2 linked regions of the Canis lupus familiaris genome follow. The protein of the gene in region 2 binds, or shares a complex with, the protein of the main gene of each other region. Links are inferred from orthologs where the notes say so. Each region holds a gene or a part of one and is shown on either strand. Other genes may lie near its edges.

Evidence for each region. The genes of interacting proteins can lie anywhere in the genome.
Region 1: HTATSF1 (region 2) and SF3B4 share a complex: the UniProt entries of both Homo sapiens proteins name them as parts of the 17S U2 SnRNP complex. The link is inferred for Canis lupus familiaris from reciprocal best matches to the Homo sapiens genes HTATSF1 and SF3B4.

Annotation. Positions count from the first base shown.
Region 1 is NC_049238.1:59,866,705-59,874,116, reverse strand, and holds the start of SF3B4 (splicing factor 3B subunit 4), read left to right. Parts: upstream 1-3,443; 5' UTR 3,444-3,566; coding exon 3,567-3,600; intron 3,601-4,047; coding exon 4,048-4,176; intron 4,177-4,444; coding exon 4,445-4,987; intron 4,988-5,310; coding exon 5,311-5,517; intron 5,518-7,412. Other genes in the region: MTMR11 (myotubularin-related protein 11), read left to right, coding at 46-219, 470-652, 1,277-1,570, 2,095-2,241. UniProt on the Homo sapiens protein: Component of the 17S U2 SnRNP complex of the spliceosome, a large ribonucleoprotein complex that removes introns from transcribed pre-mRNAs.
Region 2 is NC_049260.1:107,812,799-107,819,635, forward strand, and holds the end of HTATSF1 (HIV Tat-specific factor 1), read left to right. Parts: intron 1-2,575; coding exon 2,576-2,665; intron 2,666-3,686; coding exon 3,687-3,824; intron 3,825-4,318; coding exon 4,319-5,563; 3' UTR 5,564-6,583; downstream 6,584-6,837. UniProt on the Homo sapiens protein: Component of the 17S U2 SnRNP complex of the spliceosome, a large ribonucleoprotein complex that removes introns from transcribed pre-mRNAs.

The DNA.
Region 1 (7,412 bases), on a different chromosome or scaffold from region 2:
AGGTGCCTGCAATCCCTTCTAACCTCTTATTTTCCTTCATCTCAGGCTCCAGTGTTTCTCCTCTTCGTTGATTGCGTCTGGCAGCTCCTCCAGCAGTTTCCAGCTGAGTTTGAATTCTCAGAATTTTTCCTTCTTGCTCTTCATGACAGTGCCAGGGTTCCTGACACTCTCACGTTTTTGAGAGATACTCCTTGGGAGCGTGGAAAACAGAGTGGACAGGTCAGTGACTTCCATTTTTGAGTTGTCTTTTTGTCTCCTTGAGAAATAGCCTCTCAAGTTTAGTCTTCATTTATGGAAAGTGAGATCTGTGGCTGGGAAAAGGGGAAGTTGGTGCTTATTCAATATATGACTGGACTTTAACCCTACATCTGATTCCTGAAGGAAGAGGTGAGCTTTTCATGATTTCTCTCCAGACTTGGGAAAAGGATTTTTTTATTTAACCATCCTTTTTCTTGTTTCCTTTGTCCAGTTCAACTCCTATACACAGATCTATACCCCAGGGTATTCCCAAACTCCTGCTGGGAACTCTGCTAACCCACAGCTGTCTGTCTGGGACTGGGATTTACGCTATAGCAGTGAACAGATCCTACAATTCCATAATCCTGGCTATGACCCGGAACACTGCCCGGATTCCTTGCTCCCTAGGCAGCAGGTGAAGTGTCTACATTTCCTAAATTCCCTTGATTTTTTCATAGGCTCATCCTACTAGATAGGGAGAAGTGGAAAGACACAGTGTCTGAGTTCTCTAGGGAAAGCTGCCCCACACTTCTGTAGCTGTTACTTAGAGTCCCTGACTATCCCCAGGAAAGCAGAAATCCTAGAATAGCACAGAAGGGATCCTTCTTGTCCACATCTTTATTAGTTTTTCTACCTCTTACACACATTTAAAAAAAAAGATTTATTTGAGAGAGAGCGTGCATATGTGTGTGCCAGCCGAGGTGGCGGGGGGCAGACTCCCCATTGAGCGAGGAGCTCCATGTGGGTCTGGATCTCACAACCCTAAGATCATGACCTGAGCCAATATCAAGAGTTGGATGCTTAACTGACTGAGCCACCTAGGCACCCCTCTTATACACATTTTACAAGTTTCCCTAAAATTGACTTTAATCAGACCTGATGCTTAGTTTGAAGCCTATGAGGAGAGTAGATGGGGGAAGGCCTGTAGTTTGATCACTAATGCAGTTTGAGTAGGTGGAAGCTAGACATTCTTTCCTGACCTTTGGGGAAGGGGAGTCAGAGGTTTCTAGGTTGCAGTTGATTTCTTTTTTCCCTTTAGCCAAGCTTCATGGTTCCTGGACCCCCAAATTCTGTGTGGCTCTTCTCCAGAGGGGCCCTGACCCCACTGAATCAGCTCTGTCCTTGGCGGGACAGCCCCTCCCTGCTGGCAGTCTCTTCTCGTTGGCTCCCTAGACCTGCTATCTCCTCTGAAAGCCTGGCTGATCAGGAGTGGGGGCTCCCCTCACATTGGGGAGCTTGCCCTTTACCCCCGGGATTGCTGCTGCCTGGATATCTGGGACCCCAGATCAAGCTGTGGAGACGCTGCTACCTGAGGGGAAGGCCTGAGTTCCAGGTGAGGAGGGAGGACAGGGATTGGGAGTAGGAGAAGGGGCTTGACTGCTAAACCAGATGTTCTGGGAGAAACCAGATGTTTTTAGGAGCTGGAAAAACAAGGAGCTGGGGGGACTGAGGAGTGAATTATCATTCCTGTTGGTATCACAGTGGATAGGTTTAGGAGTGTGTGTGTATGTGTGGGATAGACTACTTGTGGTTCAGATCAAGTAGAGCCTAGAACATAGTTGGAGGGGGAAAGAGAATTAAAGACGCCAGAGGTGATGGGAACTAGATTTATGGGGATCACTTTGTAATGTATAAAAATATCAATTTTTTTGTATAAAAATTGTTTAAAAGTGTAATTTTATAAAATTTTATTAAAGTATTAAAAAATCACTAGGATGTGCACCTAAAACTAACAGGACATTGTATGTCAGTTATAATAATAATAAAAAAGATGCCAGAAGTAGTGGACACATCTCAGAAATAGGGAGCTAGAGCTATAATAATATTCCTCTCTGCCTCTCTTCACCCCCTTCTCAGAAAGGCCTCTCAGCTCCCACAATCTCTGGCCTCCAGGATGAGCTATCCCATCTTCAGGAGCTTTTAAGGAAATGGACACCAAGAGTATCTCCTGAGGATCACTCCAAGAAAAGAGATCCAAATACCATTCTTTCCCAGTCCCGTTGAAATTGTTGTCTTTTTTATGGGCATGGCAGAGGGGGTCCGGGGTGAGGGAAGGTTCTGTCTAATCCTCCAATTTTTCTTATCTTGGTCTTGCTGTCTCAGCTTTTGACACTCCAGCCCTCAACAAGCTCACTGACCTTTCTGTTGCAGATGGGTGGTGCTAACCTTCTCCAACTCTTGCCCTGTCCTGTTTCATTCTCGAGATATGTTTCTCATGATTTGAGGAATTAAGAAACAAAAGCAATCCAGAATACGATTACCTTTGTTCTTTTCAGGGCAATTCCATCCCTCTGGATACCCAGCCGATAAGCTGTGAGATGAGAGATGCTGTTCATCAGTTCAAAGGAGATGGCCTACAGAACTCATTCTCACCTCCTCTTGCTGCTTAATTCCAATTTCTGTTTCTTCCCTCTGGTTTTCTATGGGTATGCTAGTGGGTATGGGACACATCCTGTCTCTCCCAATTGTATATTTTGTAGTGACATTTCTATTTAACGAGTTCATTAAAGTACAGTTGCTGGCATTATCTCTGGTGTCTGAATAAAAGATCCTAAGTAAAAAAGCGATGATAAACCGGGAGAAGAAGGGACCCACCATATTATTGTTCAGGAAATATGGAGATAGGTCAGGCTGTCCACACTAATCGTTTCGTAAGATGGGGCAAAGAGCATGCAAAGACATGGTTGGTGGGCCCGGGGTATTCTGGCGGTTGAAACTGAGGCCCCTGGGCTGCAATGTCAGGTACCCTCAGCTCTGGGCACACATCATCTCTGAGCCTCAGGTTTCCATCTCCCCCATGCAACAGGATCATGTGAGCTCCGACGCCACTCCAGCTCAGACACTCCGCAATCCTCTCCCCAGAAGCCGCGGGCCACGGTGGAGGGCTGCCTCCGCACCCTAAGGCAGCCGAATCCTTGGGTTGGAGGGTTTCCTCAGCACACCCTTCTCCGGGGAACAAAAGGATAGTTTGCCAACAAAATATTTCTAAATAAAGTTTTGTTCTTTTAGCTTTTGAGTTTACATTTTTAGGAGTACTGTGATCCTTTAACGTCCAGCACTGCCTTAAGAGGGTCTGGGCATTTCCGTTCGGCCCTCATCGCTTTGACCGCTAGCAGCGGCAAATCCGCGCAGAACCACGGACCGGAGAACGCGGCCCCACAAGCCGCATCAAGTCTCCGCAACTCCTAAGATGGCCGGGGCCTCTTCCGGCTCCTCCCCCATCAGGCCCCGCCCACCGCCCTCGTGACTACCTTCGCCCCGGAAGTGGAAGTACTGACTGAGGTCAGAGGGCGGGATCGCTGCCTGGAGACGGCGGGAGCTCTTTCGCCATGGCGGCCGGCCCGATCTCCGAGCGGAACCAGGGTAGTTGGAGGGGATGAGGCCAGGGAGGCTGGGAGGCCTCGAGGAAGGCCAGCCGTGTTTTCGCCGGGGCAGGAGATCGGATCCCCCCGGAGGGCGCGAACCCGGCCCCCGTGCCGGCTGGGGGTGGGGTGGCCGGGTGCAGGCTGAGGCCTGTGGTTGTGATGCTCTGTCCAATCTCCTGCGCCTTCCCATTCAAAAAAACAAAACAAAACAAAAACCCAAACGAAAACCAAAAACAAAGCAATTCACAGAGAATTTGCAGCAGAACCTTCAGTTAGACTTAAGAAGGTTCTTTAGTTCTGGAATGAGAGAGATGTAAGGGCTTACTCTCACGTCTTTTTCCTTTTTTGTTCCTATATCCCATCTCCACTCCCAGTTCCCCCGCCTGTCACTTCCTTCTTTCCCGTCGTTGTCTCATCCCTGCCATAATCTGCTCATTTCTCTTAGATGCCACTGTCTACGTCGGGGGACTGGATGAGAAGGTTAGCGAACCCCTGCTGTGGGAGCTTTTTCTCCAGGCAGGGCCAGTAGTCAACACCCACATGCCAAAGGATAGAGTCACAGGTCAGCACCAAGGTGAGTACATCACAAGAGGCGTGTTTATGCATTGAGGGGACAAGCTGCTCCTGGAGGGTTCCGGCAGTATTCATAGGCAGTATTCATAGCCGTTTTGGAATCACCTGTAGATTCTTCCTTTTAAGTGTCATTCAATGTTTGCTTCTGGAACCATTCCCAGTTGAAGTGAGGTGGTTATTTCATGTTCTTTGTGCTTTGGAAGGTGCATGAGTTACACACGAAATTGAATCACTTCACTTAAGTTAATCTCTGCTTTTCTACTTCCCAGGCTATGGCTTTGTGGAATTCCTGAGTGAGGAAGATGCTGACTATGCCATTAAGATCATGAACATGATCAAACTATATGGGAAGCCAATACGAGTGAACAAGGCATCGGCTCACAACAAGAACCTGGACGTGGGGGCCAACATTTTCATTGGCAATCTGGACCCAGAAATTGATGAGAAGCTGCTTTATGATACTTTCAGCGCCTTCGGGGTCATCTTACAAACCCCTAAGATTATGCGGGACCCTGATACAGGCAACTCCAAAGGTTATGCCTTTATTAATTTTGCTTCATTTGACGCTTCGGATGCAGCTATTGAGGCCATGAATGGGCAGTATCTCTGTAATCGCCCCATTACTGTGTCCTATGCCTTCAAGAAGGACTCGAAAGGGGAGCGCCACGGCTCAGCAGCTGAACGACTTCTAGCAGCCCAGAACCCACTCTCCCAGGCTGACCGCCCTCATCAGCTGTTTGCAGATGCACCCCCTCCGCCTTCAGCCCCCAATCCTGTCGTATCATCATTGGGGTCTGGGCTCCCGCCACCAGGTAAAGCTTTTATTCAAAGTATTTTTGTCTTGGGCTTGGGGTGTGGTGGTGAGCGGGGGCAAGGGGAGGAGAAAAGAACTTGATAAAGGGGGACATGGAGTCAGTAGGTGATGAGAAAGAGAGTGAGGGGTGACAGTTGTGGGGAGAAAGTTGTTGAGTTGAAGAGGCTGAAGTTGTTCCTAGTTATCTAGTATTGCTTCTGATTTTAGAGAGCTGGGAGGAAGGGAAGAGAACTTATCCTGCCTGAGGAGGCCAGATTGAACGGGCTTTCTAAAGACATTCTCTCCTTACTATCGTTAACTTGTCTTTCATTTCCTCTATAGGCATGCCTCCTCCTGGGTCCTTCCCACCCCCGGTGCCGCCTCCTGGAGCCCTTCCACCCGGGATACCCCCAGCCATGCCCCCGCCACCTATGCCTCCCGGTGCTGGAGGACACGGTCCACCATCAGCAGGAACCCCAGGGGCTGGACATCCTGGACATGGACACTCGCATCCTCACCCATTCCCACCAAGTGGGATGCCCCATCCAGGTGAGTGTTCTTTGCTGGGGAAAAGGATAGATAAGCTTGTTGGAGGAGCTCCACTGCCACATGCAGTGCTGCCCTCATCCCTCAGCAGTAATAGTAGATAGTCCCGGAGCTCTGCTTTTTTTTCAGACATTCTTTTATAAAAACAAACACGAGACACTGTTCTCTGTTTACTTTAACAGCTACCACCCTGTCTCCATTTATTATACAAGTTTTTCCAAAGAGTGTAACTGTACTCGTTTGCTTTTTCCTTTAACTTTTACTTCATTTTTCTCCTCCGACTTCTACCCCAAAGCAGTGACCTAATTGCCAAATAGAGGGGGCACTTCCATTCTTTACCTGGTTTGCCATTTGGTGTACTTGAAACTGGGTGTGTTGTCCTTTTTGAAAAGCTTGCCTCTTGGTGTTTCTGGATTTTTCATCTGTCTCAGACTCCTTAAAGTTAGCCACATTAGGGATCCCTGGGTGGCGCAGCGGTTTGGCGCCTGTCTTTGGCCCAGGGCGCGATCCTGGAGACCCGGGATCGAATCCCACATCGGGCTCCCGGTGCATGGAGCCTGCTTCTCCCTCTGCCTGTGTCTCTGCCTCTCTCTCTCTGTGTGACTATCGTAAATTAAAAAAAAAAAAAAAAAAAAAGTTAGCCACATTAGTAGGCTTTTCTCCCTCTCCATGTAGCTGGGTTTTTGTATCTGGTTCTCTTTTCTTTTTTTTTTTTTAATTTTTATTTATTTATGATAGTCACACAGAGAGAGAGAGAGGCAGAGACACAGGCAGAGGGAGAAGCAGGCTCCATGCACCGGGAGCCCGACGTGGGATTCGATCCTGGGTCTCCAGGATCGCGCCCTGGGCCAAAGGCAGGCGCAAACCGCTGCGCCACCCAGGGATCCCTCTGGTTCTCTTTTCTTCATAGTTCCCTTACTTGTACACTGATGCCACCCAGATGTGGATATCTGGTCTGTGACCCTTAATCCCACTGCCTGATGGACAGCTCCACTTTGCTAACCTCCCCTTCACACCTGTTGTTCCTCTAGCATTCTTTGTTTTCAGATTCTTAATTCAGAAATCTGGGACCTATTTTTAACTGTTTCCTATCACTCCTGTACTAGATATCAAATCTTACTAATATATCTGGTATTGGCTCTCACTGCTAGTGCCCTAGTGCAGGCCCCCTCATACTCATTTCACACCTAATTTATTGTAGTGATTTTCTAACATTTTGACTTCAATTTCTCTTTGATCCACTTGCACAGAGTAATTTTTCTAAAACACAATGTTCACACACTTTTGCTCAAAATTCTATTGTTGCTCTCTTTTACGTACAGCATAAAACCCAGACTTGTCACCATAGCATTGTAGGCTGTTTGTGATTGGTGCCTGCTAGTTACACCCATGACTACATGCTGCTCTTTATTTCTGAGTTACCAGTTTTCTCTGAACATACATCCCTGTTTGATGCCCTTGTGGTTCTCACATGCTAATATTTCCTGCTTGGGGAAAATTCTGTTCCATGCTCTTGTCCACCCGAAAAATTCTTATTCGTTCTCTAGAATTAGATCTTTGCTCAGACAATGTTTCTGCTACTTTCCCGAATTCTGTCAGTGAAATAATCACTCCATTTGTTACATAATTCTGCAGCACTGTTATACTGTCTAAATTGTGGAAGGAGCAAGCAAAGTGGGCAAGCAGTTGATTGGGTGGGTAGTTGATCTGCTTGTACCCTTGGAATGAGGATGAGGGTGGAGGGCGCTTTGTACCAGCCTTATTTTCCATACTCCTCTTTTTTTTTTTTTTTTTTTTAATTTTTTTTTTAATTTATTTATGATAGTCACAGAGAGAGAGAGAGAGAGAGGCAGAGACACAGGCAGAGGGAGAAGCAGGCTCCATGCACCCGGAGCCTG
Region 2 (6,837 bases):
GGGCTCAAGCCCCACGTGGGGTATAGAGATTACGAAAAAAATCAATCATTGAACTTTAAAAAATAAACGGCATGCCTGGCAAATTTGCATCCTAGGAGATGAAGAACCAAAACTGTGATGCCAGTGTGTTAGGTTTCTCTAGGTTTCTCATTGCGTACACAGAACTGGCCAACAGCAAAGCAACTGAATGTGAGCCACAATTTTTCCAGGAGCTATGGTTAAACTATAACATGAAATGGGGAAAATTAATTTTAATAATGAACTTTATTTAACCCAGTATATCTAAAATATTCTTAATTTCAACATGTGATATAAAAATATTCATGAGTTACATTGTTGTTTCTTCCCCATTGGTACTAAATCTTCAAAATCTGGTGTTCATGCCATACTTGGAACACACCTCAATTGGGACTAGCCACATTTTAAGTGCTCTGTAGCCACATGTGGTTAGTGGCCACCGTCATGGCCAGTGTAAGTTTAGATTGGAAAGGAATGAGAAACATGATTTATTTCTTCCTGGGAAAACAAAACACCACCCTGGCAAAAAAAAAAAAAAAAAAAAAAACTAAGAGTGTTGAACAGGAGGTTTCAACTCCTCTGTCTGATTTTTGTCTCAAGTCTGTTGCTTGCAAAGTGTTGTGTTTAGAAACTTTCCATTCTTAATTATGTTAAAGAATTTTCCAGAGGAGAGGACTGTTATACTTATGCTTCAGGCTACTATACAGCAGTGAGGCTAGATTCGTTTTTCAAGCTGGTATAAATGAAAACAGAAATGTACAAAGATTTTGGCTAAAATCTGACATCCTTGTAGGAAAAGCACTGAGACTTTGGTACAGAAATAGAGTGGTTCCTCCCCCCCCCTACAATGGAATCACACTTAAATTTGTTGAATATTTTGTAACAGTTTTCTGTGGTTTTACTATAATCCTGATTTCCCTTGGTGAATAAAGTTTTGAGGTATTGGCAATTGTTTATCTTGAAGAAGCTTTTTATTGACTGCTCACCATGTGGAAACACCGGTGCTGGGTTCTGTGAGGCATATGAAACTCATTCAAACAAGATTCCCGCCTTTAGAAAGCATGTAGTCCAGTAGGAGCCAACCACGCACACATTCCTATAGGCTACCATATGACTTTCATGCTCTGGTTCCCATTCCTCATAGGGCTGACAAATCTATCTAAAACAAACAGCATCTTCTCTAAAATGAGATTTTGTACAGAGTGCTGCCAGCTGTGCCTTTAGAAGGCTCATTTGTAGGGTATTCTTTTATTTTAAAGTTGATATCAGTAACTACCTATCAGTTCTTTATTTTTGCTTTCTGAGAGAACTTCAGGAGGGAAAAGGCACTTTTTTTTTGTTCTTTGCAGTTCTTTAGTTGGTGAGGAAAATAAAAACCCGTGAGCAAGATGAAGTTAAGTGTTTCTTAAAAAGCATAAGTCTACTTCAGTAGAAGTTCATATATAGGATGTTTCATTTATATGTTTATGTAGTTAAAATTCAAGTGGATAATGTAACATTTTATGAGCCCTTTCCATGCACTGGGACTTGAGGAAAGGTTTGTTAATTCCTACTGGTAATCTTAAATGCTTTTGTTGTGGGGTAGATGGTCCACTTGAACTCAAGACCACCAGAAGCAGCAGCTCTTGAATGCTCTTAATAGACTTATAGTTGCAAGAAAGCAGCAGCTAAGAATCTATTTTTTAAAAGATTTTATTTGAGAGAGAGAGCACGTGTGCGTGCGTGCACACACACGAGCCAGGGCAGAGTGGTGGGGGGAGGGAGGGGGAGGGGGAGTGGCAGAGGAAGAGGGAGAAGCAGACTGACTCCCTGCTGAGCAGGGAGCCCTATGTGGGGTTTCATCCCAGGACTCCAGGATCATGACCTGAGCTGAAGGTGGACGCTTAACCTACTGAGCTCCCCAGACACCCTAAGAATATATTTTCTCGTGTGCTTATTAACAGTGCTTTATTTGTGTGGTTCTGGTGCGATGTGGTAGGAGACAAGATGAACAGGCACCCTTATAAGGGAGGTTTACCCTGTAAGTTAAAATAGAATCTTGGAAGCACAAAGAACTATCTTAGAACACTTAGTCAATGAAAGGGCTATCTCTCTCTCCATGACAGCATTTCTGTAAATAGGCATCTATGCAAAACCCAAAGCAGAAGGCTCTGGTCAGTACACTCATGATGCCCGTGCAGGACAGAGGAATGAGCAGTGTCTGATTGCATATATGTCAGAGGACTTTTCCTGCCCGTACAGCTGCTGTTATTGGGGATTCCCGGTCCTCCTTCCCTGCTTCCCCTCCCCTCTGCTCCAGCACAGTCCTACTGCTGCCCGCCATTCTCAGCCCTTTCCTCAAGCTGAAAGCAGGGCCGCCCTGTAGCAGTGGCTGCAGTCTTGGTGATCTAACTTTAATCCGTTTTGACTTTTTAAGATTTTGTAGGCCTCAGACAAGACTACTTTTTTTTAAGTAAAACTTTTTTCGGTATGTTGGCTTGTCAAAGCAAGAAATGTGATTTCTCAGGGTTTGTATTTAAAGGGGGCAAACCTGTTTTAATCATGTGTATGTTTGCAGGATGATCCATTGGTGCTGAATGAAATCAGAGAAGACCTTCGAGTAGAGTGTTCAAAGTTTGGACAAATTAGGAAGCTTCTTCTCTTTGATGTAAGTTCGTGGCTTAGACAAATGATTCCTAAAGCCAAGCATTCTTTCCCTTTGAGAAGTTATTCCCAGAGGTCAGTATGCCACAAATTTTGGATTAATGTTTTTCTATAGTAGGGCTGCTATCTAGTAGTAGTCATCTGTCAGCAGTAGTTAGATGAACATGGATTGTAAGTCAGGGCTTGCTAGACTTGGTATGCCTTGGTGATTTCCCTTTATTGCCCTAGAGTGTGTGATCAGATGAAAGGAGTACAAGAAAGACGTGTGAGATCTTGTGGTTCCCTATTTGCCCCCATTTACCCCTCTTGGTGAATTACTCTCCTCCTCCATATTTGAAGAAAAATCAAGCAAAATATTCTTCTCTATGTTCCCCTTCTTACTCTGTTACTTCCTAGATTGACACATACTAAAAGATTCACCATTTATTGATTGCATACGGGCTACTTTACATGTTACCTCATTTAGTTCTCATGATCTTTTGAGGTAGGTGGGTACTATTCTACCCATTTTACAGATGAGGAAGCTCGGAGTTTAGAGATTGAGTGAGCACCTTGCTCAAGGTCATTTAGCTGCTAAGTGGTAGAAGCATTTCCAAGAACATCATGCTTGGTTCTTGATATACAAGATTAAGCTAAAGAAGCAGCTAGCTTTGGGGTGCCTAGGTGGCTCATTTGGTTAAGTGACTGCCTTCGCTTGGGTCATGATTCCAGGGTCCTGGGATCGAGCCCTGCATCGGGCGCCCCTCTCAGTGGGAAGTCTGCTTTTCCCTCTGCCCCTTCCCCAGCTCGTGCTTTCTCTCACTATCTCTCTCTCTCTCTCTCTCTCTCAAATAAATAAAATATTTTTTTTTTTAAAGAAGCAGCTAGCTTCAAGTCACTGGCTGGAGTAAAAAGGAAGAATGGCTTCATACATAAAATCTTGAAGCTTAAGTTATCAAAGAACTCCACTACATACTTATTTTGTCAAATGTGTATGTTTTATTTTTAGTTTTATCATTCATTGCTGCCTTTTCTTCCCTTTCTAGAGACACCCCGATGGTGTGGCCTCTGTGTCCTTCAGGGATCCGGAGGAAGCTGACTATTGTATACAAACTCTTGATGGAAGGTGGTTTGGTGGCCGTCAAATCACTGCCCAGGCGTGGGATGGGACTACAGATTATCAGGTAAATTCTGCAACTATCAAGGGCACATAAATTGTAACATTACCAACAAATGCTGATCTAGTGGTTCTTCAGATGAGTTTTGGGCTCAGTTTAATCTGTTTAATGTAACAGTTCTTCTAAATAATACTTTGCATCCAGAGCATAGAAAGAAAAATGTTTTAGTTTTTCAGTTTATAAGCCTGAAATTTTGAGGTGTGCTCAGAATAGTGGTAAGTAAAGGATGGAGAGCATTCAAGTATTAACTTTTTCTTTGATTTCTTTATTTAACAATTCTGCAGGACTGTGGTGTTGGGCTTTTGTTTAAATGATCTTAAGCTCAACTCCCATTAATCAAGATGTAAAATTTTGAAAACTGAATATAGGGAAATGCTCTGATTTCCTAAGAAGAGATGCTGTATGAAATCAGGGTATTTGTGTCAGTATCAGAAGTGTGCAGAGAAGTTATTTATTTTTGCCTAAAACTCATTTTAATAGCAATTCCCCTTTCTCCACAGGTGGAAGAGACCACAAGAGAAAGGGAGGAAAGGCTGAGAGGATGGGAGGCTTTCCTTAATGCTCCCGAGGCTAACAGAAGCCTTCGGCGTTCAAATTCCATCTGTGCTTCGGAAAGGGCGGGGCCTTCTAGGGTAAGGCATTTTTCAGAGCGCCCTAGCACATCGAAAATGAATGCACAAGAGGCCACAAGGGAAATGGCATTTGAAGAACCCATCGATGAAAAGAAGTTTGAAAAAACCGAAGATGGGGGAGAATTTGAAGGAGATGCTTCGGAAAAAGATGCCAAAGAAAGTGGTCCCGAGAAAGAGGCTGAGGAAGGCTGCGCCCAGAAAGAATCTGAAGAAGGCTCCCTCAAAACAGAGTCTGAGGAAGGCTGCCCCAAGAGGGAGCGTGAGGAAGACTACCCAGAGAGAGAGTCTGGAGAAGGCAGCCCTGAAAAAGAGTTTGAAGAGGGCGGTCCTAAAGCAGAGTCTAAAGAGAATGGCCCTGAACAAGAATCCAAAAAGAAGAGGCTCAAAAATGATTATGAAGAGAACGGTCTTGAAAAGGATTCTGACCAAGATGGCCCCAGCAAGGAGTGTGAAGAGGAGAGCCCTCAAAAGGAGTCTGAAGAGGATGACTCGGAAAGGGAATCCGAAGAAGACTTCTCTGAAAAGCAGTTTGAAGACGGCTCTGAGAAAGAATTTGAAGAAAATGGCCTTGAGAAGGATTTTGATGAGGATGCCTCCGACAAGGAGTTCGGCGAGAACATTCTCGACAGGGAGTTTGAAGACAATGACTCTGACAAATCAGAATTTGGAGATAGCAGCTCTGAGAGAGTGTTTGAGGAGGAAGTCTCAGAGAGGGAGTTTGACGAAGAGTCTGATGACAAGGAAGAAGGGGAGGACACCTACGAAAAGGTATTTGATGATGAGTCAGACGAAAGAGAGGATGAAGACTATGCAGATGAAAAGGGGCTTGAAGACGTTGATGAGAAGATGTTCGAAGACTCGGATGACAAAGAAGATGAGGAAGGAGTAGAGATAAAGGAAGGTGAGGACGTGGATGATAAGATGTTTGAAGAGGATGATTCCAACGGGAAGCTGTTTGATGATGACGATGAGGATTCCAGTGAGAAGCTGTTTGACGACTCTGATGAGAGAGGGACAGTGAGGGGTGTGGGCAACGTGAAGGAGGAAGGGCCCCTGTCCACAGGCAGTAGCTTTGTCCTCAGTAGCGACGACGATGTCGATGATGACATTTAATCCCTTAAACTTGCTTTGTAGGGAGCTTCCTCCATCTGCATTCTGCCCGTGCTCCAGGGTAATTGCTAGTAGTGTTACATGAACGTGTGCCTAGTGGTAGGATGCCAGCAGAGTAATGCATTGAAGTTTTCACTGTCACCTGTACTTAATGATTTTAAATCTGTGTTAATTGGCTGTTCAGGTAAAACTTCATAGTATAATGCAAGTCAGCTGGATACTTGTCCTTTGTCCAATTTGTTAAGTGCATGCAGAATAATATTTTTTAAAGTATTCTGATTGAAGTTTGTGATATTCAAAAATAAAAATAAGTTGTTAATATGCTGAAACTGAAGAATTGGACTTGGCGTTACATTGCATTTGAAATTCTTGCTGTTGCTTCATTCATACTCAAGTGTGGTGTTTGTGAGGACTTGAAAAAGCCTTTTAGGAGTCTTCTTGCTCCCCACTGCCCTTAGCACTTAACATCCCCATTTCCCCTCCCTAACCCAGAACATGTTACTAAACTTATAAAGTAAATAACACTCTGGAGTTTTTCCCTGCCTAGTCCTTGCAAGTTACTTTCATTTGTTTTCTTTTCCACCCTCTGTCCCTGTGGAAACTGACTCTGAAATGTGCGAAAGTGAACTTCCTGAAGTCGCGGCTTTCGTTTTTGGAAATATGGAGGAGATGAGAATTCTCTTGTGTACTGCTTGGGTACCTTTTTAGAAGCTGATTGAAATCATTGGAGCTTTCCCCAGAAAGATGTAAGCACACACTACACAGCTTTTTTGTATACACTTCCCAGAGGTTCATGGATCCCTAGAGTTTAAGATCTATTGTGTCCTGCATATTTCGATTTTTTGTTCTAGATTCATGATGCCTAGTACTGTGCTGAGTTGTGTAGTCCGAATAAAAATTGGAGTCTTTCTTGATTGTGCTTTCCAAATTGAGTATTGGTGAAATGACTTCTGATGTAGAATTAAGAAGTAACTCTCGTGAATTAGAAGCATTAAAATAAACTGCATTGGTGCTTTTTCATTATACTGTCTGTAAGTGTAATCATTAACCCTCTTCAGACAAAAAAAAAAAAAAAAGTGTTCTTATATTTCACGCCAAAGCTGAGAATTTTGTAGTCGCTGGGATTTCTTAAAATCTCAGGATTTTCACCAGGGGTAAGTCCATAAAAGAGCTAAAGAAACTAAAATATAGAAAAGTTGCAGACCAAACTAGTGCTCCTTTAAAGGTAAGCCAGAAGCATTTAAACGTCCCATTTATTGGAGGATTGATTTCCTGAG